Linked DNA regions of Arabidopsis thaliana. The protein of the gene in region 2 interacts with the protein of the main gene of each other region in a biochemical or structural test. Each region holds a gene or a part of one and is shown on either strand. Other genes may lie near its edges.

What was found.
Region 1: the proteins of ASY3 (region 2) and AT2G33793 form a complex in vitro, tested with the Arabidopsis thaliana proteins (one study listed by BioGRID).

Annotation. Positions count from the first base shown.
Region 1 is NC_003071.7:14,292,196-14,306,797, forward strand, and holds AT2G33793 (DNA ligase-like protein), read left to right. Parts: upstream 1-4,798; 5' UTR 4,799-4,911; coding exon 4,912-5,024; intron 5,025-5,101; exon of another isoform or gene 5,102-5,130; coding exon 5,131-5,220; intron 5,221-6,118; coding exon 6,119-6,178; intron 6,179-6,283; coding exon 6,284-6,323; intron 6,324-6,407; coding exon 6,408-6,501; intron 6,502-6,610; coding exon 6,611-6,670; intron 6,671-6,755; coding exon 6,756-6,847; intron 6,848-6,932; coding exon 6,933-7,022; 3' UTR 7,023-7,056; exon of another isoform or gene 7,057-7,332; intron 7,333-7,513; coding exon of another isoform or gene 7,514-7,595; intron 7,596-7,696; 3' UTR 7,697-7,809; coding exon of another isoform or gene 7,810-8,057; 3' UTR 8,058-8,382; downstream 8,383-14,602. Other genes in the region: AGP30 (arabinogalactan protein 30), read right to left, coding at 1,667-1,977, 2,634-3,042; AT2G33796 (FBD-like domain family protein), read right to left, coding at 7,514-7,595, 7,810-8,057; EMB3113 (Ribosomal protein S5 family protein), read right to left, coding at 8,730-8,979, 9,496-10,157; SPL3 (squamosa promoter binding protein-like 3), read left to right, coding at 13,147-13,445, 13,537-13,633; MBAC1 (Mitochondrial substrate carrier family protein), read right to left, coding at 14,098-14,232, 14,322-14,420, 14,509-14,602.
Region 2 is NC_003071.7:19,290,029-19,306,260, forward strand, and holds ASY3 (asynaptic protein), read right to left. Parts: upstream 14,244-16,232; 5' UTR 13,935-14,243; intron 13,432-13,934; exon of another isoform or gene 13,408-13,431; 5' UTR 13,402-13,407; coding exon 11,869-13,401; coding exon of another isoform or gene 11,851-11,868; exon of another isoform or gene 11,839-11,850; intron 11,771-11,838; coding exon 11,623-11,770; intron 11,519-11,622; coding exon 11,387-11,518; intron 11,309-11,386; coding exon 11,239-11,308; intron 11,157-11,238; coding exon 11,007-11,156; intron 10,934-11,006; coding exon 10,875-10,933; coding exon of another isoform or gene 10,801-10,874; exon of another isoform or gene 10,403-10,800; coding exon 10,268-10,402; coding exon of another isoform or gene 10,206-10,267; exon of another isoform or gene 10,090-10,205; coding exon 9,998-10,089; coding exon of another isoform or gene 9,974-9,997; exon of another isoform or gene 9,903-9,973; coding exon 9,840-9,902; 3' UTR 9,464-9,839; downstream 1-9,463. Other genes in the region: CYP709B2 (cytochrome P450, family 709, subfamily B, polypeptide 2), read right to left, coding at 1-317, 406-653, 737-960, 1,066-1,513; CYP709B1 (cytochrome P450, family 709, subfamily B, polypeptide 1), read right to left, coding at 2,267-2,701, 2,780-3,143, 3,229-3,485, 3,582-3,808, 3,908-4,184; PIL1 (phytochrome interacting factor 3-like 1), read right to left, coding at 5,589-5,990, 6,354-6,419, 6,525-6,590, 6,679-6,786, 6,868-7,402, 7,577-7,650. UniProt on the Arabidopsis thaliana protein: Required for normal meiosis in male and female gametophytes. Acts with ASY1 at the interface between the developing chromosome axes and the recombination machinery to ensure interhomolog recombination.

The DNA.
Region 1 (14,602 bases), 5.0 Mb from region 2:
TAGATATGGGATTATATTAGTCAATACATTATTAGTCAACACATTGATTTCACAAAATCTTGTTTTTGACCACAAAATCTTTGTGAAGATAATACTGCAGATACATTCAAAAACTTCCCATAATTCAAAATATGATAAATGTGCGTTATTAGTTATTACACAAAAATTCAAATATGAGTCATCTGTGTTGGATTTAGGCATTTAGCTTATTAAAAACTTTTCTTTCCAAACTCATTGTGTTTTGTGTATCGTTCACGGAGTAATTATGAAGAAACTAGAGAAGTTTTGAAGCACTAAACAAAGCTAAACATCAAAATATTTCTTTTTCTTTTAATGATAGAAGGTACCCAAGCTAATCTCTAACCATAAAAGAAGATGTTTATTGATATCAAAATCAATCATTATTAACCATAGAACGACAAGACGATAATGACCACCATTACATGGTTGAAACATCAAATTTTTAACAGCTAGACATTTCATAATGCAAGATGTTCCATCAAGCACAAGATCATACCACTCGACCTTTCCCCATATTTCTCCTCCTTCGCGCCTTTCGAGGGCAATCTCTGCACACCAAATTTCTGTTGTCTCGCTCATTTTCTCTATTTTATGCAAAAACACAACTAATTTTCTACCATAACTTGTTGTGAATGATCGTGGACCGTCCAAACGTAGTTTTAATTCCACACCGTTCACCACTTCCCAAATCCTCTCTTTCGGGTCATACGCTCTTATACAATTCATGTGATTATCATAGTAGTACAATACATCGTCTATAACACATGAACTAGCTAGACCATTTTTCAGAGTGCAACTAAAAATATAAATATGTAGGAACAAGTTAATCCAATGAGATCTTATTATGGAATGAAGTCTTGGGTAAGTAATTTGTTATTGGGTGATTTTGAACGATTGTAAAGTGTTATTAAGTTATACCAACCCATCTATTTACCATGTTTTTGCCAAAAGATATATGTGTTGTCAAAAATATATAGATTATGTAAGTTTAACAAAGTCAATAAACTTTATATATTTTGCCAAGTTGCCTAATTAATTTTGATTCATCTTTCAATTGAAGATATATAATGATGATAAATGATAGGAGATCTACTAAATTTTAACTGATCTTACAGAAAGTTTTTTCCTAAAATCAATTATACAATAATGACAAACTTACGTACAAAGATGACTGTTCGTACTCGTAGGTCGAAATCATAGATAACATTTTTATATATGGCATCAGAGGTTTCGTACAAAATGAACAAATGTACAGTATAATTATGAAAGAAAATTATTGTACTAGTTGCTCAACACTTGTCAATACTTGTTCTGATATGATGGTGTTGGAGATAAATTTGGTCATTTCGATTCCTAATGAATTAATATATAGGCTAATATATCAACGGTTGTGTTCATTAACATCCACATAACATATTCAGAGTCTCTTTTATTTAGCAAACTATTTTTTTCTTTTTTCTTTTGGGGTCACGAAGATAAGGAATTAACAAGAAAAACCTAATATGTAAACGTCACCACTTTTTATTTAAGAAGCAAATTAGAAAGATTAACACTACCAGAAAAGCCCATACAAAGAAACCAAGCTGATACATATTCAACACAATCATTGATTAATAAAAGTTTAAGTAGCTCTTATAACACCATCTCATTTGGGGCAGGTAGGTTCGAATGCGAATGGACCAACGTTGTACACACTGTACTTGAACCATCTCATGATGGTCGAGGAAAATCCTGGTTTCAAGACCGGCTTTAGAACGGAGCCCTTGCCTCCATCGTGGAGTGACGACACTTTGCTGCACTTGGTGTCTGGAGACTTCACGAGGAAAGCTCGACAACCTTTGATATCGTAGTTGGTCACCGTCTTAGGGGCCAGGAGCATGAAGTATCCGTTCTTGTCCGTCTTTGTCTCCGATATTGAGTTCTTCTTGTTCTTGCACACAAGTCTCACCACCGCATCTGTATCCCCAGATAACACAAACGAAATAAAAAGTGAAAATATAGTACTTGGATAGATTTGTTATACAGAAATTGTTTTAAAATAATGCAAGAGCATGTATTTGTTTAGATTAGTTATGGTAAATTTACCCTCTTTTTTTAAGAAGGGGCATGACTTGAACAAGATTTTCTTACTAGTTGAGCTAAATTTGGTATTATAGGAAACTTGGGGAAAACAATGACAAGGCTTCGCTACAGTAGATTGTCTTAACCAAAAACCTATTGATTATAATTAAATTAAATTCAAAAGCATTGAAAGAAGTTACTTAGTTTTCCATGGTATATTTTATGTTTATCAATTCGTGAAGGGACCAGAATGATACGACCGGCTCTGAACTAATCTCGCTTGGTAGCATATAGTTAAAAGTTTACACAAAAAGTTTTGAACAACCGACAATGAGATTATGATACATATAACATATGCCTAAAATAAATGTAAAGGATGAAGTATGCATGCAGCATACCTTTAGCAAAAAAAAAGTATGAATGCATGGGATTGAAGTGTGGACTTTTCACATACGGACATACCACGGTCCACAGGTGCGTATATTAAGGGTTCGAGTGATTTTTAGGATAATATATAGACTTTCATATCATGAATGTATATAAGTGAGTACCTTTAACGGGTTTAGCGCCTTGGACGTTGTTGACGCCCGCGTACTTGCAAGCTTTGCAGTAGACCACACCTCTAACTGCCACTAGGGTCTTGTTGTACTTAGGAGGGTAAACTGGTGGGAGAACAGGAGGTTTGATCGGTGGGAGAGTTGGTAACTTAATCGGAGCTTTGGCTGGTGGGAGAGTTGGTAGCTTGATCGGAGCTTTGGCTGGTGGGTAGGCTGGTAGTTTGATGGGAGCTTTGGCCGGTGGAAGAGTTGGTAGTTTGATTGGAGGTAGGGGAAGGTGTTGGGGAAGGCTATGGAAGGGATCTGATGAACCAGGTTGATTCACTCCTAAGGTGAAAACAGAGGAAGTGAAGCACAAAAGTGCAAAGAGAGTTAGAGAAACACTCTTACCAATGATTCCCATCTTTGTTCTTTTGTTTTTCTTTGTGTGTGTGACTTTGGGTTGATGTGACTTGGGTGTATTTATAGGAGATATCGGGCTACAATTTTTTATACTTCATATAGATACTAGAGAGTAGAGGCATACACAGCACATGTACACAACTGGCGAGAAGTTTCCGATCGATGTAGTCCCGTTAAAGATTTAGATTTAGATCTCCTAACAGGTTTGAATACTTGAAGCAAGAAACTCGATATTGATTTGTAGTACAGTCACTTCCCGGGTTTTTTTAATAGAATAAATGAAAACTTCGTCAACCTACCTGAAGTTTATTTTTTCTGATGAAAAGATAATAATTAACGAATGCATCACAGCTGAATTCAATACAGTGTTTAGTCATATATATGTTAATATTCAACAAATTAATGTTATGATTTGAAAGTTTTATGAGAAAATTATAGTCATGTATATGTGAATTTCTTATAGTTTGTGAATTTAATGAGAGTTAGTAAAAAAAAATATAGATATAATTTTACAAATTCTATTGGACAATATGTAAATTTACAGTGTAACTTTCAATGCAAATATCTGGGATATAGATAGTATTAGTGCATGAGTTTTCATTCATGTTCCATGTTTTGTGGTCCTTAACATGGGCATGGCAACAAGATGCGCCTGGTGCGGCTTCAACACATTACAACACATTTAAAAGTTCAATTAATATCCACACTTCTGTTTCTATTTATTTGGGTTTCCAATTTGATTAAATTAGCAAAACGGTGCCTATAAAATTATTCTTAGATCAGGATAAGATAAAATACGTTAAAAAGTCAACTAGATTTTAATGAAACTGGTAAAACAATGCCCGTGTAATTATTCTTAAATCAGGAAAATAACTATTAAAAATTGATGTTAATTAATAGTGGAAACTCTTTTGGTCTAGTGTTTTACAAAAAAGATTTATACTTTCATCGTTTCACGTCATGCATAAGATTTCATTTCCTAAACTATACAATGCCTTGGAGATTATAAGTGCAATTCTTTTGGAGGTTCTGAATAAAGCTATGTGAGATCAAATACTTTTTGAAAAATTCCAAGCTTCGCAAACGTATGGTATAGCGTCACATGTAATATTTAGAGTGTTGAACCACAGAACTTTGATAAAACGTTAAATGGTACGGTGATATGTATTTAGTTTTTAGGATTGGTATTAACCTAAACCAAAAAAATAAAAATAAAGCGTGAAGATATACATAAACGTAAACACAATGGCCTTAAGCTTTGAGAGAAGAGGTAAGACAGATATACGCTAGAGTAAACCATAAACTAGGCCTAGGGGTGAAAGTTTCTAACTTTCTATACTTCAATGATCAATCTCAAGATAACAATGAGATCGACATGCAATAATTTGAGTTAATTTGGGTTTGAGTTGAAGGAAGTTTTCATACGCATTTTTAAGCCATGAGGCCCAATGATGTTTTGACAAAAAAATAGAGGCCCATGATGTATCAAGTCTCATATTTCATTTGGGTTAAAAATTGATGTAAATAGAAGTAACAGTGACTTTTGTTACCCACAATTTGAAGAATTATATGCATAGAATAATTTTTTATTTTTATAATAGTAATTATGTTAGCCATAACTTAAAGAAGAAAAAAAAATCAAAAAAGAAAACGAAAATAGTGAGAGTACGTGATCAGCTACGACGGCATCCACAATACGTAAGTGGGCTATATATTATTGTGAAGTGTGAAGTCTTCTAACAAACAAACAGAATTTCAAAATTCAAATTCAAATCCAAATCACACGAGCGAGAGAGAGCAGATAATCGCCACTCGCCAGAGCTATTGATTTCGCTTCATCGAATCTCACACTCTCTAAGTTTCGTCTGCAATGTCGTCTACCAGAAGAGGCACTAAGAGAACTCGGCCAGAGCCGCCGCAATCGCTCAAGAAGCCAACACCGAAAGCAAAACTCCCGGACGAATTGGATGTCGATGTTTCTAGGTCCGTTCTCGTGTTTTCTTTTGCTTCGTCTTCTTCTTTTTCTTCGTTTCTTCTGTTTTTTTGCTGAAATGTGACTCGCGATTGTGTTTCCGTGTTGATCGTGTAGCGATTTCAAAGGAATCATGTCGGCGTTGCAGCAATTCAGAGAGAAAGCGCACGAAGATGGCCGTAAGAAGAAGGAAGAAAGCATTTCCAGGTCATATATCTCTCCGTTACATGTTTCTCTCTGATTAGGTTATGTAAACTTCGATTTCATCATTCACTATGCAGTTATCGAGATATTCATGTCGATCGCTCATGTGCATTTGTTGATGGAGCGTTTCTTCTAATTGTTATCGTTGGTACATGAATTAGATCTGGATCTTGTATCGCAAATCAATTTATCAAGTAGATATAGCTAGATGAAGCTAAGGTGTTTGATCATTTGTTCTAGCATTTGATATTGGTTGATCTGTTGTGAAATTGGTTATGGTATGCTCATGTATCGCTTAAACTAGAAAGCATATATATGTTCGATTGATAGATATCAAGCTCTTTTATATGTGGATTAGTCTGGATCTTGTATCGCAAACCAAATATCAACTAGTTTTAGCTAGATAAAGTGTTCGATCATTTGTTCTAGCCTTTTTGATATTGGTTGATCTGTTGTGAAAGTGGTTGTGGTATGCTCTTGAATTTCATAATCTATAAAGCAAATGTTTGATTGATAGATATGAAGCTCGTTTAGTTTCATAGATACAGAATGATCAGTCTTTTGTTCATCAGCTCTGAAGCACTCAGCTATCTATTGTGCAACTGGTTTTGGTATTGCTCTTTGTCTCCCTTAAACTAGAAAGCAAATGGTTGATTGATAGATATGAAGCTCGTTTGATTTCTTAGATACAGAACGTTTAGATGTTCAGACTTTTGATTTTGATACTCAACTCTGAAGCAATCGGTTGATTTGTATCACTACTTGGTATCTAGTAGCATGGTTTTGTCATTTATTGTTCCAGAAAGATAGAATCATCTGAGGATTGTGAGTATCCTGCTTTTGAAGTGTCGTTTGTTTTATATTTGAATCTTTCTTTAATCCTTGTGTATCTTTCTGGCAGTGTGTCCACTGAGGTGAAGTCAAAGATTGACGAGCTGAAGTCAAAACTTGAGAAAGAAAGGTAGGCTATGTTGTTGAGGATAGATGTCTGATATTCAATTACATGCTTTGTGAATGTTGGTTTGCAAGATTCTGATGAATTGTGTCCTTGACTTACAAAATGCAGACAAAACTTTTCCAAAGCACTTTCAAAGAGTTCAAAGGAGGTCTGAACAAACATCCTAAGACGATGTTCAACTTAATTTAGCCTTTAGAAATGTACAAGGATCTGACCTGATCCATTTTTGCAGTGTGAGAATATTTTGAAGGATGAAGCTGCCAAGTTTGAGGAGCTTCATAAGAAATTCGTGAAAGACAAAGCTGATCATCTACAAGGCTTGAAAGGTATTCTGGTTTTGTCATCTCTTACTGTTGGGCGTCAAAAGTGTAGATTTCTTTCATTAGCTAATTGGGATGTTACCAAAAGTATTGAACATGTGTTTCTGCTTTACAGACACTATTTCAAAGTTTGAGGAGGACAAGGAGAGGCTCTACATGCGATATGAGCAGCTAAGTAAGCAAACCAACCCCTTATAATGACACCACTGTTATGAGAAGATGGCAAAACTTACTCACTTCCACCTGTAAATAACATATAGGGAAGAAGGAGAAGACAATGATAACGGAACAGGAGAAGTTCTGCACTGAAAAGCTTGCTCAATTGGAAGAGTCACTGAAGAAAAAGAAACGGGTAAATTAAAGCCTGTTTGATCTTGTTATACATACTCTCTCTTTAATCTTGTTATATGACTGAACTATGAATTCTCTGGGTGTAGGGTGACAAAACTTTCAGCATACTGAGGAAAACTCTCGGCTCTTTTCTGGAAAACGAGGCTTCTGATGAGGAATTCCCACCTGATGAGTGAAAGATTAACGTCTTTTTCACTTGACGCTAGAAAGGTAAAAAGCCCTTTTACTTTGATCAGCCACCCCAGACATTTCTTTCAAGTTTTCTTTCCCAGCAGAAAACACACTTATCTCAAGTAGTGTTTCAAGACTTTGAATACTATGAATATGAACCTTATTTTCTTCTATGTTATAGTTTGAAATGAAAGATTAATTACATTTTAGCTGGCTTCACCACAAGTTAGCTAACAATTATATTCACCACAACTCTGATTCATAAAGAGCTTCAATTATTGATTATGGATATATAGTTGTAGTTAAAGCTTATCAACCGCTCCTCCAGCAATCACACTTGTACATGGTGAAGCTGGTCTAAGCATCACCTTGGCTGCTCCATAATCACCCTCTTATCTATAAAACAAAACCAAACAAACCCATCTAATTCATAACTAAAACATTCAGGAACATAAACCCTCCCAAATTGCTCCCGAAGTTTTAGCTCCAAAGCCTATCAACCAACTGATTCTTCTAAACATTTGTGAACAATGCAAACATCAGTTTCATAAGACCATATAAACCAATTGAATGTTGAACTATTCATAAGAGTTCAATTTGGATAAACTAATTTATTGTTTTTTGATTAAATATGAAACCGACCCTTAATCTATAGCTAACATAAACTTCATTTTCCTAGGACCAAAGACGGAATACGAAACGCAAAAGTCAAGTGTAGTTTGGTTACCATCTCCGAAATCTAAAACCTAAACCGAAACCCAAAATTCAACTAGAAGGAAATGTGAATCTCACAAGAACTGGATTTGGAACTTAGATGAACGTATGGGCAGAGCAAGAAGGTGATTAATGAGTTGCTGTTTCTTGTTATCATCATCAGCATCAATTTCGACTTTCATCACTTGAAGAAACCGCATTTCCCGCAAAAAGCACGTCACTTGTCTGAGCTCTCTATCACGTCCTCTATACCCATATATCTCCAACACCTTCACTTCATTTCGATCAATGAAGACTCCCTGATTACTTACACAGTGCAAGCCCATCACAAAGAGATCACCATTCATACAGAGTTAGGATTGTACGTAATACTTGACGCGGAAGCATGTGGATTAGTTAACTGCGTATATATTAAGTTTGGATTTAGACACCTTGAGCACAAAAGTTTCTAGCTTTGTAGTGAAACGTGAGTCTCTTGAGGGTTTTGTGGGATATAGAGTATACTTTGCTTTCTATACGTTGTCATCTAAGTGTTGGATAATTAACTGACCATGAAAGTGTTGTAAGGATAATTCCTCAAGTATTGGACAACAACAAAGCATTTTATGGCACAAGTCTTCGCATGTATACCAAGTTGAATGGAGAAGGAGACTCTTTTGCACTGAAAGAAACACTTGTGGTAATTATGATATTCGATCTGGACCATGATCTTAATTTTCGAATTTGTCAAAGACTGTAAGTACTAAATTGGGCTTGATGGGCTCTTCATTGGACTAACATAAATGTCTCGGACAAGTGTATGTGTTCTTCCTTGTACATTTTCACCTGCAACCTTATCAGCCATAGCTATAGCATTCTGAAATAGAATCGGTCAATGTGAACTTTTATGGGAGAAGAAAGGATTTACTATTTCAAAATAAACATATTTTCTCATGAATTACATCATTACAAGAAATCTCAACAAAAGAGGATGAAAATGTTAAAGCGAAGATGAGTTTTCACTTCCAGAGTTCTTCCATGGGGATTCCACGCTCTTGTGCAACATCGCGGAACTGTCTCATCTGTTGTACTGCTGCAAGAGTGGCTCTCGCATTGTTGAGAGCATTGTTGCTTCCAAGCTGTTTCCCCAATGCATTCTCGACTCCTGCCATCTCTAGCACAATCCTAACCGCTCCTCCAGCAATCACACCAGTACCTGGTGAAGCAGGTCTAAGCATCACCTTGGCTGCTCCATAATCACCCTCTGATCTATAATACAAAAACCAAACAAAACCCTCTTAAAACATAACTTAAACCCATCTCCAATTGTTCCAAAACATAGCTCAGTGGCCTATTAACCAACCGATTCTTCTAATTGATTGTGCACAACACAAAGATCAATCTCATAAAACCAGCATTCTGAGTAACAACTTCCATAAATCAATCCTTAAACCAAGCAAATCATCACATCCAACACAATGCTAAAAAGACTAAACCCCACAATCTTAGCTCATTGTCTACTGATTAACAAAAACCGATTCTTCTAATCATTAGGGCATTATTCAATATTTTAACTTTTGTGCACAATGCAAACATCAGTTTCGTAAAACAAGTACCATAACACCAATCTGTAAACCAAACAAACCCATCACAAATCCAACACATGACTGCACAATACTAATCCCAAAATCTTAGTTCATCACCAAGTAAGACTTTTACCATCCAAAACCAATTCTTCCAACAATTAACACACATTACAAACATCAAGTCCAAAACTTTGATTACCTGTGAGGGAAAGTAGAATACTTAGTCATAGGAACTTGAACAATGTTTCTCCTAGCATCAATAGCAGATTTCTGAACAGCAGCAACAACTTCTTTAGCCTTAGCACAACCAACACCAACATTCCCTTGTTTATCACCAACAACAACGATAGCTCTAAACTTCAATTGCTTCCCTCCTTTAACAACCTTAGTCACTCTCCTAACTTGCACAACTCTCTCTTCAAACCCATCTCTAATCTTATCTTTCTTTGGCTTCCCACCAATACCTGAACTCTTCTTATGCTTTGAGTCCATCACATAAATATCTTTCCCAAGCATACTCTCACCACTATACGCAGGTCCATAGAGCTCTTCAAAAGCGGTAGCGATCTCTTCCTCTGTCTCGTCGCTTCCTTCGTCGAAATACGGAGGAGAGACGAATCCTTCGGGAGCAATTGGTGGGTCGAAGACGACATTTGCGGTTATTTCTGGTGTTTCGTCTTCGAAGAAGATGGTTTCGGTATCGGTCGATGAGGCTTTGACGAGAGTGAGAGATGAGAAGCGGCGGTTGAGGAAGGAGGAGAAAGAGACGATGGATTTTGTGGAGGAAGAGGAGATGAGAGAAGAGGTTCGGGTGTGGAGTGAGAGTGAAGAGAGTGATGAGAGAGCTGATGCTGTCGCCATTGAAATGGAGGAGCTTTTTTGGATGAGGAAGGAAGTGAGAATGAAGCAAAAGGCTTATCCAGCACCAGATCGTAAAAACTGTAAAGATAATTGTGTTGGGGCTTTTAAAGTAATTATCAAGTTTCTTTACAAATTGGCCACAATATATTTTATAATAACATTTGAACCCTCATATCCTTTTGTTTGAATTTGGGCTCTTCGCTCACTCCTCCCTCTTTGTGGCCCAATGAAGTTTCTTCAAGCCCATACAAAAGTAACTAGTAGTAATCCACATCAAACCCTATAGGCTTGCGGATACATCTTAGGTTTACTAAATCTTAAAATAGAAAAGATCAGTGACCATATGCTAATTCAACATTTTATTTTTACATACTTTGGTCATTTTTAATATGGACTTTGTTTTAATTAAGATCGATTATACTAACTACAATCGCATATGACACCAACGAGCAACGTTAATTGCTTTTATGATTTTAAAAGTATGTGATTTGCAAACTAATTAAAAGGTGACCATATATAAAAGAGTGTACTACAAAAAGGGCCTACTACTATTCAATTAACGTTGCTCGTTAGTGTCACGTGGGGAAGTTAAGGTTCCCACTTCCCCCACCACTTCTCTCAGTTCTCTTCTTCTTTTTATTGTCCCATTCCAAATTTTAACCAACACATCAAGCAAACTTCATTAATTTATGTTCAGTGTTGTAGTTGCAAACGTTATTTATTATTTTACGTTTACAAGTTTAGAACTAGTTCGAATCGTGATAATCTTGAATAAATCATAACTTTGTTCATCTAATCATAAGAACATAGAACTTTGACATGGTGTCTCCGGATCTTGTTGACTTAGTTCTATCTTAAAGTTAAGCTACACATATTATAGGGACCCCATATTATAGTACCCAAACAAACAATTAGAGAGTTTGTATGCAAATCCATAATATTTACCGTAGAATTGTATGGGTTTAATGAGGAAAGAAAAAGAAAAGAAAAAGAAAAGAAGAGAAGGACACTGAAGGAGAATGTGATGCTGCTGAATAAAAGATACAATCAAAAAATTGACAGGCAGTACAATAATGATAAGTAGTGTCATGACAGCTGACGACTCTACTGCCCAATCTTGACGTTATTTATTTTTGTCCATTTTTTCTTAAGATATTATTTCAACTTAAAAGAAGTAGAAAATAAACCATAAGTGCATAACAATATTCCTTTTATAAATTGGGTTCAAGATATTGATTCGATTCTGTTTATTTCAAGTGTCGTGGAACTCAATTTTATGTTATGCCTGCCTCGGCAACAAAGATTTTCGTTCAAGTGGCTCTATGAAAATAAGTTAGGGCAAACTAGATCGATTGATGTAAACACAAATAGAGCTAAATAGTGGAGATAGTAAACTGGTGATTTTGTTTCGTAAATAGTCAAAAGGAGGGGGTGACAAAAAATAGATTTGTCCCTTACCTCTAAGAGATATAGAGCAAAACGTTTGCATAGCGCTGTACCATTTCCTTCTATATTTTATATATGTGGATGTGCATGGATCTAGCTGATGACATAACACGGCAAAATCATTTAACATTTGATTAGCATTGGCATCAATATTTGACGACGCTCCTCATTATTTATATATGTGGATGTGCTGATGTGCATGAATCTAGCTGATGACATAACCTAGTATATGTGCATGGTTTTATGGTGTGAACAAGTTTTTTTTTTTTCTTTTCTTGGTTTTAGGTGTGAACTTTAAGTTAGAGATGATCTTCAAATCTCACGAACCACAAACCTCCTTGCACGTTAAGAATAGCCTCTCTTTTTTTCTTTTGTTGCTTCTAGTCTCAGAGTGTCTTCGAGATATGTGTAGTCTTTAGTGTACCCTGAGACCTGAGTACAAGATCGAAAAGAAAATATCTCGAATAACAGAGTTGTGTTTGCTGTTTTTACCATTTAATTATGCTAATATCTTTGTTTTACATAATACCAATTGAAAAATGAATACATAATTCAAGTTTGGACCATTCTTGTATATCCACTTTTGGCTTCGTGGCCCCGATAGCTAATTTGATTGACCTTATCATCTACACCAAACAAGAAATTAAATTGTCAAATTAATTTAGTGGTGGCCCTATACTATAAAATCGTAAACACTTCTTTTTGAAACTAAATATAAACCTTACGACACATTTATGTGCAAATTAGTGGACATATTCCTCAGTAATAACGTTTTTACAAACCTACAGTTGGATAAATTATTGAGTCACTCCATGATTAAACCAACAACATAAGAGAAAAATAAAATAGTACACTACGAATGATCTTTTAAATATGTTATTCTTTTTTGATACAGAAACTTTAACTACCAAAAAAAAAAAGCGAATGATTCATAAAAACGCAATGTGGTATGTTTGGTCTGTTTTTTAGTTCGAATCTCAACTTCTTGTTACCACAAAAATAAAACATTACACAATGTAAATTTACTGTTCAGTCTTGCTTTTCCAATCACTACATTAGCACATATTCTTCACATGTATTTTCCACTAATCTCGCGACAAAATGTTCACAGTGTTTCTCAGTTTCTCTCTCTCAATATTTTCTTGTCAAACAACATGCATATTTGAACCCGCATGGTGAAATAGCATCGGCATTAACATGATCAACCACAAAATAAACCGGGGTGGTGTCATAGCATCGACATTAACTTAAAACTACAAAATAGAGCTGGGTCCTCGTCAGGTTTTAAGGATACATATGTATGCATGTATGCATATACAAAATAATAGAGCACTAAAGCTTGTTCGTACTCTTTTTTACACAACATGCTAATAATTTTTATACCTTAGGAGTGAAATTTTAGTGGTCCAACAACTTAAGCACCTAAGATCCTTCCCCACTTTTGTTTGGGGCTCCTTTATATCTCTTCCAATGGTTACTTTTACTTCCTCTTCTTCTCTTCTTGTTCCATCTTTCATGTGAGAGAGAGAGTTGAATTTTGCAGATGAGTATGAGAAGAAGCAAAGCGGAAGGGAAGAGGAGCTTACGAGAACTGAGTGAGGAAGAGGAAGAAGAAGAAGAAACTGAAGATGAAGATACTTTTGAAGAAGAAGAGGCTTTGGAGAAGAAGCAGAAAGGTAAAGCTACAAGTAGTAGTGGAGTTTGTCAGGTCGAGAGTTGTACCGCGGATATGAGCAAAGCCAAACAGTACCACAAACGACACAAAGTCTGCCAGTTTCATGCCAAAGCTCCTCATGTTCGGATCTCTGGTCTTCACCAACGTTTCTGCCAACAATGCAGCAGGTAAATTTTTGTCATCTTTTTTCAAAACTCCTGCAACAATAACCATAAACAAGAACAAGAAATATGAGACCTTTTACCTTTTGTTTTTAAGGTTTCACGCGCTCAGTGAGTTTGATGAAGCCAAGCGGAGTTGCAGGAGACGCTTAGCTGGACACAACGAGAGAAGGCGGAAAAGCACAACTGACTAAAGACGGTGAAACGTGTGAGATCCCGGTTTGAAGGTTAATGAAACAGGCTTTGCTTACTCTCTTCTGTCAGTCTCTTTTAGCTCCTTGTAATCCTCTGTGTCTCTGTCTGTTTCTCCATATTACCTGTAATCAAAGCTATCTGCTAAACCTACGACATGGTTAAATAAATGCATTGAGACTTAGTAAATGCTTGAAGAAATTATGTGTAATAACTCTTTAAACTTGTCAAATGTTATTTCAAGCCAAGATCTTAAACTACACCAGGGATCTGTATTTGTTTTGCAATCAACAAATGAGGAGACAGCTAAATAGCTATCAAAAATAATAATCTGGGAGACACTTTTGATTCGTGATATATGTAGTTCTGTTACATGAAAGCTCATCAAAATCTGAAGCAAATGCAAGCTCCTTGTGGTTTAAAGATCTGTAAATCGAACCAAATAAATTAGATTGGAAGACTAATCCTAGTCACGTTTGATTCCCAACATTTTCATTGAGAACTCCCAAGCAACAATTGCTGCTGCATTAGCAGGGAATGCTCTCACAATGGTTGGACCCAAACCTGCATAGCATCCCTTGAGTCCTGCCCTCTTGTGAATCTGCAGAGATGATTTAAAGTCAAAAACAATATTTCATATACTCTTTTGTATCGGTAATTAGATTCATAGAGGGAAGATGGCTGACTGACCGAGCTCAACACTTTAAAAGGATTTCTCTCTGTAGCTTTCTCTGAAGAGGTCTGGATTATGGTTTTTGCTACATCAAAAGGCAAAACAGCTGACCAGCACTGCATCATAGAAGCAGAAGTAATATTCATATAAAATAGCAACATTTTTTATGATGGAATTTATGAAACACACTATATAGATTCCTACAGCTATGCCTCCAAGACCACCAGTGAGAACTCCTATCCCCATGTCAACCAAGTAACCATCTTTCAGCTTAGAATCCTCCAATCTCGAGTGGATA
Region 2 (16,232 bases):
ATTCATTGAAAACTTCTTCTCTGAGTTTCTCTTGCCAATCTTGGTGCAAGCTAAGCAACATTGTACTCCATGTCAATAGATTCGCAGTAGTTTCGTGTCCTGCGAAGAAGAACGTCTTGCATTCTTCTATGATCTCATCAATGCTCATCTTTTTCTCAGACTCGTTAGAGCTTGCAGCTGTTAACATGATTCCCAGAAGATCGTTTCCGTAATCTTTGGATTCCGATGTTAACCTCGCATCTATGATTCTTTTGATCGAGCTATTCACTTTCATATCAAGCTTCCATATTTGAAGATTCGAAGGCGTAGGAAGGTACCTTGGGATACAAGAAATAAAACCAATTTTCAAATCACTAAAACAAGAACGAAGTTTAAAAACAAAAGAGTGATTATACTGAAACTTACTGGATTCCAGGGAAATAGAGGTCAGTAAGAGCAGCAGCACAACACTTTTGGAGCTCTAATTGTGATTTAAATACTTCAATTCCTTCCGCATAACTGCTTCCAAACGCAGCCGTCGCTATGATATCAGCGGTCAATCTCTTAAACTCTCTGCTAATCAACACAAATTGCTCTGTTTCTACACCATTCCTCTGTTTTTTCCACTCAAGGAACATTCTAAAAGTGCAATCCACCATCAATTGGGTCATGAGCTGAAGAAATTTAGGAAATGTTAACAAAGTGCTATCTTCTACTGTCAACTAATTAGATATAAGAAGGAATGATTTTAAAGAACCTTGAGTTTGTCCATAGAGAATGCAGGGTTTAAGATTCGTCTGTGACGAACCCAATCAAGACCATTTACGAAGATAAGTCCATTACCAGAAAGTTTAAGGATCTCAGGTTTTGTCTTTGATTTAGAAAAAAAAACAAACTTGTTCGATAAGATCTGTTTCGCGAGCTCATGATCTGAGATGCACAACCTTGGATCTGTTCCTTGCCAGTAAAGAAAGGTCTCTCCTAAAGAAATACCATTGCTAACGTGTTAGTTAGGCATCTTTGTCTAGTGAAACAAAAAACTTAAGAAAAGGAAAGATCAAAGAAGATGGAGAACTAAAACGGCACCATATTGAGACTTCCATTGCTGAAGATGAGGTAAGACGCGAGGGACGATATCGTTGGAGTTTGGATCAAGAACCATAAGCTTAGCTTCGTTCTTCATCTTCCTAATCTCTCGGAGGTTCCCATACAAGATCCTGTATTTTGGACCAGAGATTCCTTGCTTCTTGAATCTTCTCGATAGCATCCATGGCCGCCAAACAAGGATCCGACAAGCTCCATATATCTTCGGAACTACAAGAAGCACTAGAGCTATTGCTAAGAGATTGATCGTGCTCAGGAGCTCCATTCGAATAACAAACAAATTTTTTTTGCTTTGTGGTGGATTCGCAGTGGGGCTTTCAATTTTATGTGTCGTGTGTAGTGTGAGGGTCGTCGTGACTTCTGTTTCTGATATAAGCACAAGCTGTTTTGAAGATATAATGAATAAAATTCTAACCGAACAAAATAACATAGGAGTAATGGGAATTTATTTTACATGGGAAAGAAAGTAAGACAACGTAACGGACAATAAAGGAAACTTCGGATTCTAAAATCGCCTATCGCTAATGGAGGTGTGGGGACAGTCTTTTAACAGCATCGATTATAACAGATGCCGTCATTGCTTATGGAAGTAATCTTTATCTTCTTGTAGCTTGCTTACACGTTACAAGTTAGAAACAGAAGTTGTAGATGTTGTTTCTTGGGATATATGACACACGTAGAAAATCGTGTAAAAGCTAAAGTTCACGTGATCGTCTCACAAGGCAACCACAAATAATGTAAACAGCGATCCAGATTTTTCGTTTGGCATTTTGCCATTTCTGTAATAAAATATTTTGAAGTCATAGAGGACAATTTATATTGTTATAACTTATTAACATTTTGGACTGTCTTTTTCTGAACGAAAGGAGGTTCGAGATTCCTATAATTTCTGAATTGTCGATTACTCATGTTTTCAAGTTGCTTTAGCCTGGCTTTTGAATTCATAACCGTTACACACTTCCTTCCACTTTTCAATTATACATGCAATGTCACAATATATTAAATTATTAATAACTATTTAGCCCATCAAGGGTTCCAAACTGAGATAGTAAAAGCCCAATAACTTAACAAGGATGATTTGTTAAGCCCCCACCATCAGCAATAAGCCGGCCTATATGGAGGAGACTTGTCACACACGTGAGGTATATTCATTAAGACATCCGATTTATTTGGGCATTTTACTTCAGTCTTCCAGAGGCTGAAGCATTACGGGTAAGCCGTACTGAGGCTGAATAGTGACGTTATCCACAGGGGTGTGCTTATACTCGTCACAGAGGCTAATAAACCGAAACCGTTGAAGAATCATGGTGAGCACAGTCTTGGCTTCGATCATGACAAAGTTTTGGCCAATGCAAGCTCTTGGTCCGACGGAGAATGCTAGGAGAGCGTTTGGGTGATTGGCGGCTCGGGAAACGCCGTTTGCAAACCGCATTGGGTTGAATTTGTCGGCGTCGGATCCCCAAAGGGTCTTGTCGCTATGCATCTTCAGAAGCGGGATGACTACGGTTGTGCCCTTGGGAATCTCTAGGTCACCTAACTTTATATTTACTGATGCTTCTCGGGCCAAAGCTGACACTGGTCCGTAAAGTCGAAGCGACTCCATGATCACCATGTTCATCTGCAAGAAATAAACAGGTTTCTTCAACCGCAAGAAACATTGTCTCACAAGAGACCCTTTGAAAAAAATGAACATTACCAGCTTGAGTTTGGAGAAAGTTTCTGAATCTGGGGTTTTTTCTTTACCGCATTCTTTGAATATCTCTTCTCTGAGTTTCTCCTGCCAATCTTGGTGCAAGCTCAGCAACATCGTTGTCCATGCCAATAAATTCGAAGTAGTTTCGTGACCTCCGAAGAAGAAAGTCCTGCATTCATGTATGATCTCTTCGATGCTCATCTTCCGTTCCTTCCCTTCAGTGTTGTAAGCTTTCAACAAGATTCCGAGAAGATCGTCTCCATAATCTGACTTTGACTGTAGTCTCGAACTTATAATTCTCTTAATTGAGTTATCCATTTTCCTCTCCAGCTTCCATACCCGAATGTTCGAAGGCGTAGGAAGGTACCTTAGAATACAAGAAACAAGACCAATATATGTCAAAACCTAAGAATCTTGTTTGAGAACTGAAAGTAGGAGAATGATTAACTTACTGAGTTCCAGGGATAGAGACTTGGTTGAGAGAAGTTGTATAACACCTTTTAAGCTCCATTTGTGATCTAAACACTTCGATTCCTTCGACGTAACTGCTTCCAAACGCAGAGGTTGCTATTATATCAGCTGTTAGTCTTTGGAACTCTTCGTTCATTTCCTTTTTAATCTTCGGGTGCTCTGTTTCTTCCTTAGTGCTCTCTTTTCTCCACTCCTCTAACATCTTGAGCGTACAATCAACCATCACGGTCGTCATGATCTGATCAACAAAATGAGAAATTTACAACCAAAATTAAGTTATTCGGCTCTAATGTTTAATTTCTCAAGTCAAGCTAAGAAAGAAGGATTAAAATACCTTGAGCCTATCGATGGAGAAAGCAGGGTTCAAGATTCTTCTATGGCGAACCCAATCAGCACCTTCGATAAAGACAAGTCCTTTGGAGCCGACAAGTTTAACAGCCTCAGGTCTTGCCTTTGATTTGACAAAGAAACCTAACTTGTTCGACAACATAGTTTTTGCAAGTTCAGGATCTGAGATGCATATCCTTGGCTCTGTTCCGTTCCAGTAAAGAAAAGTCTCTCCTAATAATATATAACATAGATAACTTGTGTGTTACGCATTATCCTCGAATAAAATCTAAAATAAAAGATGAACAAAGAGAGAGTTGGAGAAAACGACACCGTATTGAGACATCCATTTTTGATAATGAGGAAGAATACGAGGGAAAATATCATTGGAGCTAGGATCAAGAATCGAAAGATGAGATTCTCTCTTCATCTTCTTTATCTCGCTGAGGTTTCCGTAAAAGATTCTGTAATTTGGGCCTGAGATTCCTTGGTTTTTGAGTCTTCTGGTCAACACAAATGGATGCCAAACAAGAATCATAAAAGCTTTGAATATCCTGAGACCAATAATAAGGATTAAGACAATTAGTGCCAAGAAAATTACGAGCCCCATGGAAAAGTTTTTTTTTCCTTATGTTTGTGTGTGTGTATTGTTGTTCTTGGTTAGGTGTTTTAAGTTCTACACTATATAATGACATGCACATATAACTTTGTAAAATAAGTCTATGGCCAGTGAATGAAACACTATCTAAACACTACATGAAGTTAGCACAAACACGTCTGTTTATTTTCAATTTGAGAACAAACAAAAAGTAATTAATAAAGTAAAATGTGTCTTATATATGGTATGATGATAGAGTAGATTCTAAATATGCCTATAGCACATATTTGTTACGTAATAAGACAATTATAGAAAGTATATAAAAAATGAGTGGATAAAAGAAAAATATAAAATTACTCATGAAAGCTAAGTAATCCTTTTGGGAGAATAATTTAGTTTTAGCATTCATTGTATCTTAGGTTTACTGTTTCTGTATCTTTAAAATAATCCGGCATGGACAATGAATCAATGATTTGTTGTTAACATATCATTGTGAACAAAATACTTGATGAACTAATTGTTTGGAGAGTTAATTTGGTATTTGAATTCAAACGAAAATGTTATAGAAATAGAAGTACAACATTGTGAAAATAAATAAACAAAGATGAGAGATATTTATCAACCAACGGTGCAATGTGATGGATCGTGACATCGAATCTTAAAATGAAACACTTTTTCGTTTGTTATCTACTTTTGCATGGTTTCATATTTAAAGGAAGTGGTTGAAATTTTATTTCTATACTAAAAGAATTGGTTTAGACTTAACTATCCACTTTCTTTAAGTATCATGTTAACTCATGAAATAAGAGTCATCTATTTTTAAAAGAGAATCTTCACATTGATTTCAAGTTTTCAACGCACCTGACGCTAAAATATCAGAAATTCAATGTGTGAGTCTCATCTTCATCACACTATTGCACTCCCTTGTTTTCGTGTTTGAAAAAGCCCAATTAATTTTTTAATGTTTGAAAAAAGAAAGAATAAAGTAGATATTAGTCCACTAAAAAGCCCATCAAGCCCAAGTTTTGTAGTACTTTACTCAATCTCATCATTGAGATTGTTCCTTAATCCCAAAAACATGGCAAAATTCGTTTCAAATTACGATTTAGGTCAAATGAGTTGTCTTCATCTTAGTTGGGTTTGCGTTAAAATCGGTTTATCGTAATTGAACACTCATCATCATCCATCATTATGCAATTGCACGTCCTCTACTTATAACTTTGTTATAGAGTCTATGATAACTTATATTTGTTATATTTTACTTTGTACATCCACTTTGAAAATAGTTGGAATTAAGTTCAAATCGTTCCAAGAATCAAGGCCCAAAAGCCCATAGACTAACAACACAGAGTAGACGATCATTTTTTTTTGCTTAAAGTTAGTTAGTTGGAGAAAACATCAACTTTCTACAAATCATTAGTTTGGCGAGCGATAATAACTAAAACCGTTGCTTCCTCTATATTGCATTGCATCTTCTAAGTTTGAGGCGGACGCAGACTTTGGGAATTGAGTAAAAGAAGTAGCCTGAGTCTGAGAAACACACGAAGGCACCACGAATGGCTGAGAGCAATTTTCCAATGGAGAAAAGATAGGAGTGTTTGGAATTAGTCCACTTGGGTGATTAAGAAAGCTTAGCATTTGTGGTGGTGCATTGTTCATCCCCGGAAAACCGGTTGCTTGAACATTCATAGGCAGGAATTGCGGTATTGATGTTGGTGTTGCTGCTGCACCCATATGCATTCCTAGACCCATGGGAGAGTAATGACCCATTGGCAACATCGTAGGTGGTCTTATTAATCCATTTCCCATACTCATCATCTGTAAATAATTATTAGAGCATGTTAATTAAGAATCTTATATATATGTAAAAAAATTTGTAGTAAAATAAATAAGGAATAAACTTTTGATTGTTTATTGATTAGTGTTTAATTACGTTTATAATTTGTTTTGGTTTCTCTTATGAAACTAGTTTCTAGTGACTTTATCAAGAATCATTCGTAAAGGTAAAAGCCAAACGCAATAATATTTGATAACAAAAACACTTTACAAAGTATATTTTAATGTTAAAAAACAAATTTATATGTAAATATAAACACAAGTCTGTGTTTAAATAATTAACACCTGAATCATTTTATTATCTCTCAATGAAATTTTATTGAATTGGTGTATTATTTTGAATACCTGAACTTGAAGTTGAAGGGTCCGCATATATTTGATAGCCTCATCCAACAATGAAGCCTTATCATCCTATCATCAACAATTACAGATATTCAGAAATCTCCACAAAGAGAAAATTAATTAACTCTCTAAGACTAAGTAAACAATGTAATGTGATTTAAGTTAATCTCAAACCTTGTAACAATTTGGTAGTAGGTCCTGCAAAGCACGCATTTTCTTGTTGAATTCATCTCTTCGTTTCTGTTAACAAATCCTTAATTAGCATTAATTTTCATACATTATTTTTTTTCTACTAACTAAGGTGAAATTTTCATACATATAAACTCACTCTTTCATATAACTTATGGACTTCTGTGCTTCGTTTTCTTTTAGTCACCGGCTTTCTTGTTCTCGCATGAACTTGTGTCTTCGCATCATCTGATTCATCATCTGAATTCTGCATAAGCAATAAGAAAAAGACAATTAATGATCTACCATGTGAAAGAACTAAGACAAGCAGCTAATTAATTTCTCTTACATTACTTAAATAGGTTGATTCTTCTTCTTCAATATCTCCATACTTCCTCTTTAAAGAACAACAACTTAGATCTCTCGAAGTTCCTCGAGAAAACTTCGATGAAGAAGCAAAATACAATTCCGTGGATCTACCAACAGCTGCAGATTGCTCATCAGGAGGAGCTGTAGTAACTTCAACATTCTTTGGACCTTTAGCAGAAACATCAATTAATGTTGATGATTCAACACATTTGTTGCTTTTCGAAACATTTCTCTCAAATTCGATTTTGGAGGACTTTAGCTTCTTCTTATTGTTGTTCATTTGTTCATTGGTTTCTTTATCTTGTTGTGGCTTAGACTGACTCACCGGAACAACTTGTGTGTCTCCAAGAATCTTGATGTTTTTCTTGAAACCCTCGCTGTACTCGGTCTCATACAAATCCAGGAGAGATTGCCTACGTTGCTTTTGAAAAGAACCGTTGTTCTTTGGTCTTCGAATCTTTGCAAGAATCTGCCCATTTTCACACACCAGCTCCATATAATCTTCATCTTTTAATCTGCAAGAAAAGAGTCACGTATAAATAACCTATTAACAAAAAAAAAATAGTCAGGAGAAGACAAAATTGTTTCAAGCACCGACAGAACCATAAGCGCCCATTATTTCAAAACCACGCATGTGTATATGTTTATAGAAGTCGCAAAAAGTGTAGATGAAACCATAATAAACTTACTTTGGTTTAATGTTTGATGATGGAGAAATCATGTTTGGTTCAGATGATGATGATGCTAAGGGTTTTGCTTCCATTGAAGTAAACTGAACAAAGCTTTCTTTACTTGTCTTTTTTTTTTTCCGGTTTTTGTGAATTGTAGAATCAGAGAGATTCGGACTTCACACTTTGGTTTTCTTTCTTGGGGTTAATGAAGAGCAGCATATATATATATATATAGTCGGTTGTATATATGTATATTCGCTTATTTCATTTATGATTGATTGATATGGAGGATTTGTTTTGGTCCACAACTCATATATTTATCCTTGAATCGTGATTATGACACAGTATGGAGAATTAGTACAAATTATTACCTTACAAACTTTGGTCGACTTCAAATGTTACATTTCAGATTTATAAAATTTACAGTTGCTTTTTTTTAATACAAAACGTATATATTTGTTTGTATATGTGAAATGAGTTTTCGCACGTTTTATAGAAAAAATATAATCATAAATTCATAATAACATAGACTATACTATATATACGCGATAAAGAGTAGTATAAGTATTCATGTTAATGTGTAAATCTTTCATTTTAAAACAAAAATATTGATGGAATAAATGAAAGAAGCAAGATAATGTATGGGCGATAGTGAAAGACAAAGAAATAGAGAGAGAGACATTCTTATGACCGACTTCTCTACTCTCCACCGCTCCATTTTTCTCTGCTTTCGGAAAAAGAATAGAAAAATTAAATAAAAATAAAGTCAAATCTACGATTGCAATTCCTTTTTTTTTTTTTTGTCTTCATCTAAAATGAGAAAATATTAAGCATGATCATTTTTTTAACGTCTGATCCGTGAATTTTACTTGAGCACAGTCAGATATATATATACATATATTTATATATGGTTTTGTGTATTTCCTTTTTATTTAAAAGGTCAGGAAAACACAATGTAGTAAATAGGAAAACACAAAAAAAATCACTCCCGATGATGCTCCAACAATAATGCAACTAGTATTGATTTTTTCGTCATGCAAATTCCTATAAGAACGTGTTCTTAGAAAGTTTAGGAATAAATTCCAAACTATGCAATGACAAAGCGTCCAACTGAACTTACTAAATAATCTCCAGTATTGGAACACACTATTTCTATATTATGTTCGTGTGTTATTTTTTTTATTGAAGATAAAAGTATTATCAATAAGTAATACGCATGTTCAATTGTTCACAATTAAAAAAGAAAGGTCAAAACTTAGGTAGACCGAAAAAAAATCAATAATGTTGTTATCAAAAATAAAACAAAACACTAGTAAAACTGTAGTGAGTGACATGCGAGAGAGACGGGCACAAAAGGCCCACGTGAGCGGAAAGAACCTTCACGCCATTATTAAGACATATATGGATGGGCCCTTTCTTAAAGGCTTTAGTTTTCTCTTTAAATGGGACCCACAATTAGGCTTTTTTTGGCCAAGTTCACGTGCACTTCACGTGAATGCCGCGTGATTCATCCACCCCTTTGTGTTATTTTGTCTCCCTCCCTTCTTTCTTGTTTGTTTCTAACGACTGCTACTATCTTGTCGTCTTCTCCATTTTTACCCTCTCGACACATTCTAAATTCTTTTACCGACCGTAAAAAAAGAATCCTCTGTGATTTGAGATCTCTCTATTTACAAACAAAATTATCTCTACCATGTTTTTATCATCACAGTAAAATTGTTGGGTCCAACATTTTATTTTCTGTTTCATTCGATTGATATCGAATTGTGACCATTCTTTGTTCAGTTTGGTTTTGATATTCAATATGAAATACATCTCTGTTAAAGTAAAATATTGTAATTAAAATTCACATCAACGTCTGCAAAATATTCTGGTTTTTAAAAGAAAAATGTTTGGATTGGTTTTGCTTCGATATATATCAAGATATCAATAACCTAATTAAAAGTTGTTGGTTTAATAAAAAATATCTGCAGTTGCTGGCAAAAATAAATTAAAAAGAAACCTTCAAACTGCTATATAAAATAAGGCTCTATGATATAAGTAGTTTTGTAGTGGTTCAGTGAACAATAAACTATTCTATACGAATACGAATCAATGACAATGAGTCAAAGCATCATCTACTATATCTTCTTTATTCGCCTGAACTCATGAGACCACTAAACCAAAGGCTGGTTTTGCTTGAGAGGTTTTTCTTTCCTGGTTAACACAGTTCGTCTAGTTTATGTTTTAAAATGGAGAATAACGACGTACGTGTGGTTGATTGATTCTGTGAGACTCAGTGTCAATCATCCCTCAAACATTCTGCGACAATCATCTTCAGCTGCAGCATCTTTCCTCTCGCAGACTGTAAACCAATACGTCATTTTTAAGTTGTGCTTTTGAATTCATGATTTAACCATTTTTAGAATCTGACTCTTAAGAAGCAGAACAATGACTTGCCTTGTTTACAGAATCGATTCTTTTGGTCGCATCGTCCAGTTTTGTCTCGATGCCTCCTTCAAAATGTGCAATGAGTTTTTGGTGTGATGTTCCTGTCATAGAGAGATAAAAAGTTATCAAGTGAGTTTAGGAAATACTTGTCCTCCTGCTATTATTATATTAAAACTATCTTGCCATGAAGAATCTAACTTTGATAACATCATATGTTTCAAGTATTTCTAGTGTTAGAATTCGTTGTAGTAAAAGCAGGAATTACAGAAGTTAACATACTTTGCTTCTTTATGCTTCCTTTCAGCTCTGACTGGTTTGCTTCAAGCTCTTCGATAGTACTCTTAAAATCTTCAAGATGATGGCTGACATCGTCCTTGAACTTTTCATGGATCATTCTCATTTTCTCTTCTTGCTCTGTTAGACGATTAGATATTATCAGTGAACACAATAGATCAGAACGGATCTTGCATATTTTTATTCAATGAGTGGAAATATGGAGACATTTCCAGACTCTCATGTTCCACAACAATACACAGCTCAATTTTTTATTATTCTCCACATAGGAATGAATTGAGCATTTAGCTTTGTCTTGATATAACTATGTTAAATGCAAGTTTCATGTCTATGTTAGAGCCGAAAGTATAGTTAGGTGTGTGTGTGTGTCTAATCAAAGAGACATGAAAGCACAAGAATGAAGCAAGATGGTGAGTACTTCAAGACTAAATGCAATCTAAAGAGTAATACTTGATATCAAATTTCCGATCTACTACCTTGAATCAGGATTAAACTGCAAAGATAGTATATTTGAACTTCTAAGCTTTCTTAATGTTCATGACTGTGAATTCGAGTACAGTATTAACTATTAAGATATAATGTGTTGATGTACCTTGTAATCTTGTTTCGGCATGCTTTCTCTTAGTTTTGGCTAGGTTACTTGTCTTTCCCCTGTACCATAATTAACAAGATCTTTGATTGATAATTTAAAAGAAAGAATGCAGAATAAATTATACAAACATACGCTTCTGTTATGATATGGGACTTGATATTCTCCAACTCCAGATGTATCTCCTCGGAGACTGATGCTATAATTTCTGAGGACTTCTTTTCAGCTGCAGATTTCAGTTTTCTCTCAAAGTTTTGAAGAGCCATAGCGAACAATGCAACAGCCCTGAGACATGGTAAATAATCAACTTAAGACAGGAACAAAGATTAAAGATAGACACGTAATATTAGTTATATCTACAAGAGACCTTCCCAAGCCTTCATCTTCATCCTCATCCATCTCTGAACAATGCTGGAAGGAATCAGTTTTATCGATCCCTGCTCAGTTTCCAGGACAAAACAAATGAGGGTGCAGTATATAAACCCACAACAGTGACATACAAATGAGCATTATACCTTTTGACAAAGGGGAGGGAGGACTTAACACGACACGTCCAATGCCCTTAAGGTTAGAGTTCCGTTTAACTGAGCTAGGGCCTAACATAGATCTCTCATTAGTCCAATTGGCAGTTTCTCTTTCTTCGGGGCCTGAATCAGAAGATCAATAGAATAAGCAAAACATGGATTCTGTTAAGAAGAAAATAAGATCCTCCAGTTTTTATATGGTCTAGGATAAGAATTAAGAAGCATACTGATGTTATGGCCTAACACTGGTGAATCTTCTCTTGAACCATCTGAGTCTCGCTCATCAGACGACGGATCAGACAGAACTAAATCTTCATTTGGCTCAGGAGAACTTTCTCTTCTGAAAGAATAATCTCTTTTCTTCTCCAAGAAATCCTGAAAATAAATAAGTAAACACAAAAGTCAAAGAGGAGTATATAAAGTCAATATGCAACTTAAGTATAGATAAAGCCGCTTCAGTTTATGAAGGTTACAGGCAATCTCTTTTCTGTATCTGACGCTTGGCCTGTTGTCCCTTGAGAGGTTTTCTTAGTACCGAAGCTAAATATTGGTGTTTCCGTCTCATCTAATGTGGGACTAATATTCCTAGGTTGCAAAGGAGATGCTTCTGGAGAACAACATGGGGAAGGACTTGAGATTGGTGCTTTATATCCAAAGGTTGGACTCTGGAATTCGTTTTCTGGCTCAACAGACTTTTCCCTGAAAATATTACTCGGCCGTTCATGTTTATCGCCATTTTTAGATAATCCCTGGGACATCTCTGGCAGAGCTGCTGCCTCAGCTTCTGGCGATGGATGAAAATCTCCTTCCCTTGTGCTAATATCTGGTTTCTGTTTCCGGGCTTTGCTCTGTGGATGAAGGTCATGGGAACTTCCCTTTTTGTCTGAAGATGAAGATCTTTTGCCAGTTTCTGTGCTTTCAGAACGTGGTGGAGTATTGCTCTTGCTCGCCTCCTTCCGACTCCAATCAGCTTCATCCTTTTTTCGAGAATGAGCCTTACGGCATTTTACAACAGTGTTTTTTCTTCTACCCCTTTGTTTCTTTGGCATAACACTGGAATTCACAGCAGTGCCAATTTTTCCGCGCAAACCTTCCTCAAAAGAAAATACACTATTTACTTGTTCTGTGCACTTGCGACCTAAGTTGGCACCAGCTTTGGTTTTCTTCTGGACACCTTTGGCTCCTACCCTCCTCTGCAACAAAGATCTGGTTACTGGCCTTCTGGTAGCATTTTCAGGGCTTTCAGAATCAGTTTCGATAGAATCTGAATTGTGTCTAGGCTTAATAAGAGGATCATCATTTGAACCCTTGTCTTGACTCAACTTGAAGTTGGTCTTCTCAACTTCTGGGGTCTCAGAGTTCACATCTTCATTATTTGCTGGTGAAGCTTTTCCCAATATCTCCCACAGTTTTGATCTCAAAACATCAGTAGTTCCATTTGTCTCCTTCCCTGGCTTATCCATCTTCTCTCTCTGTGAGGCAACCTTTTGCTGCAAGACTGCAGATGGAGGTTCTTCCATCCTCTCTGGACTCCTATCCATCACTCTATCGTTCCTGCCACCATTCAGCTCACCAAGACTGTGCTGAGGACTCGAAATGGGACAGTTTTGAAATGATTCACGAGCTGGTGTCTGATGTGCTCCATTAAGTCCCTTGTTTAATCCTTTGCTACCAGACAAACTAGATGTTTGCTTACAAAGAACACTCTCAAGAGTCCCTAATTTCCGATGAGACGATCTCGGAGACCTCCAAGGTGAGGTCACATGTCCTGTGACCTGAGCTGAATTCCTTTGCTTGGCAGCTAAATCACTTTTCTCTTTCTTGTTCGCCTGTAATTCAGTTACGGTGGCTGATTTCAACTTTTCTACTCTAGCAATAACATCTCCATCATCCTTATCTGGCACAAGATTCCTTTTCGGTTGTGAATCAGCCATAACTCCTATAGAAATCTTTCTAGATTGACTTGATGGATGGTAGTTACTGCCGAAGCTTCTATAGTCGCTCATCTTTTCCTGAAATGTATCACCACAAGGTTAACAATTCTGCTGGGAAAAAGAATGTAAATATCAACGAACACCTAATCACTCATATAATTTCTGAATAGCAACACAAACAGAGAAGTAAAGCAGTACAACGCAGGCTATATTCAGCGATAATGGATGATAAATTAATCATTAGGAATGGTAAATTTCTAACACTCGGATAAAAAATTTGGTAATAGAAAATCCCAAAATAAGAAGGTGCTAGATCTGGATAATATGACGAAAACAAGAGAAGCAGCAGATAATAGATGCTTGAAACGATGAACAACTAGCGAGATGTGATATCTCTAGCAACGAATTTCATACCAAAACTCTCCGATTATGCAAAGACAACACTATAACGCTGGTACTAAACTCAAAATCGAGACGATAACACCAATTTAACGAAAGGGGGCATAGATCGCGACGACTTATCACTGAATATGAGAGTAACGAGCCATGAATCGAAAACGAAAACAGAGAAAATCGAGCGATGGTATCATTGGCTAAGAAATTACCTAATCAAAGCTCGCGGGTACAAGTGCGAAAGCCCTGACTCTCTGATTCCGGTGAAGAATTAAGTGATCAAAGAGAGAAAGAAGATCGCCGGAATATTAACTGGAATAAGATCTGAGAAAACTGATAGAGAGAGAGAGAAGCAGAAATTCGAAATTTCTAGGAGAGAAGCGGGGGAAAATGAAAATTTAGATTTCTCAAAATGGTGTGTAACAAACACTGTCTGTAGCTGAATTGCGTATACACGACGCCGAACATTTGGACGATTTTAACCCTGAGATTTCTTCGTATTTACATTGCATCGTAACCGTCAGATTGAGGTGAGTACATGTGTCGTAATCTACTTATCATTCTCAAAATTTTGGCGCCTTAATTCGCCTCTCAAAAAATTTCAATCGCTTCAAAGTTCAAACGGAGACGGTCTTTGCATATGTCAAGTTTCCGTTAAACTTTGACGGGTCAGGCTAGAGCCATCCAAGTCCAACTATCCCGGTGACTAGCGTTTATATATATGCTACATAACCAGGCCCGGCCCAAGTGGGTAGTGCCTGGGCCTAAGGCCGGACTGTACATAACTGATCATTAATTTGAGTTCTATTTAACAAACATTCTATTGTTATTCCATGTTTTATTTATGATCCATACTCGTAAAATAATTCACTTATTTATTATATAGTTTATATATATATATATATATATATCAACATCGTATTTAATAGTTCACAAACATACATAATTTGTAGAGGATAAATTTACAAAAAAAATGATAGGGAAAAAAAAACACTCGATTAAGTGTCATAATGTGAGGAACGAGATTACGTCATACAGAATCCACAGGGACAAAATGTCACACTACCAGTGTATTTGCTTTGTAAGAAATTTAAAATCAATTCAAGATTTGGTAAATCTATATACAATTCATGAATTGCGTGCGTAATCTTAACATTTTTAAGGATTTAGAAGAACCAATAATATATAGTATCTATAAAAAGACACGCACGTAACATCTCGACTCAATACCTACACGCACGCATGCAAGTATCTTTTACTTTATGGAGGCTATTGTTTATCTATCTATATAAACGTATTAAGCTTCTGCATCCTAACCATGGAAGACCTCCACTTGATTGCCCTCGGGGGCTACTCTTCCATTCAAATTATATTACATATTTTAACACTTTTTGCTTCCATTAAATTACTTTCTTTAATATTAGCAGTTTACCTTAGAGATGAAAGTAACCAAACTTTATGTAAGGAATACAAATACAACTTTAGATAATATAAAAAAAAATTATTAAAGGATAAAAAAATATTAAAAAAATATCATGCATGCAAATTCTAAATCAAAATTGATTGCAAGAAAAAAAAAATACATATATAGGCACTCCATTCATTTAATCACCAATTACTTTTTGAATAGAAATTCTATGAGTTTTAAATTTTATATACGATATCAACGAAGAAATAATTCGACTTCTTCCAATATCATAAAAGTAACATAAGCAAGTTCAAAATTTAATGCTTCATTAAACCAAAATAAAATAAAAAATGCTTCATGAATATATATATATATATATATATATATTTGAAATTATTTGGTAGGGGAAGTAATGTTTTAAAACTTGTATATTATAACAATGAATACACATGTAATAATGTAAACATACATCCAATCAACAAATGAAAGAAACAATCCGATAATTTCAGTAATGTTAAAGCAAAGGGAGGAAACAAAAGGCTATGATTAGTCCAACAAGAGGGGCTACAGAAAAAGAAAGCCACGAGACATGCAAATGCAATCACGCATCTTAAAAGCAAGCCCAAGTTTTGACTGACAAGCAACCACGACGCAGTAAAGTGGAGTTCTCAAAATTAGCGCATATATAAAGTACTTGAACTATGTGTGTATCTTTCCAATAAAATGCAATTCTATAATGACTGCCAAAATCAGTACTTCATATTATTTTTGAGGAAATATCGTATATGTGTATCTTTTTCTAACAAAAGTTTTTTTATTCAATATAGAAAAAAATGAGTATATTTACAATTTACATATCATAAGATTAAAGTTGCAAAGAAATAAAGAGAAGATGCAAATGAAAATAATGGAAGAAAAGAGGGGACAGAGAGGAGGCGGAGGCAGTAAGAAAATAAGAAAGTGAGGAAATTGTAATTTGTAGTGTTGTTAGGGAACATCTCTCCTTTATCCTTTTTCTCTTGATTTTTTTTTTGTTTCTTCAATATTTCTCTAAAACTCAATTGGTTCCAACTAATTAGTACATTTTTTCCAAACTGAAATA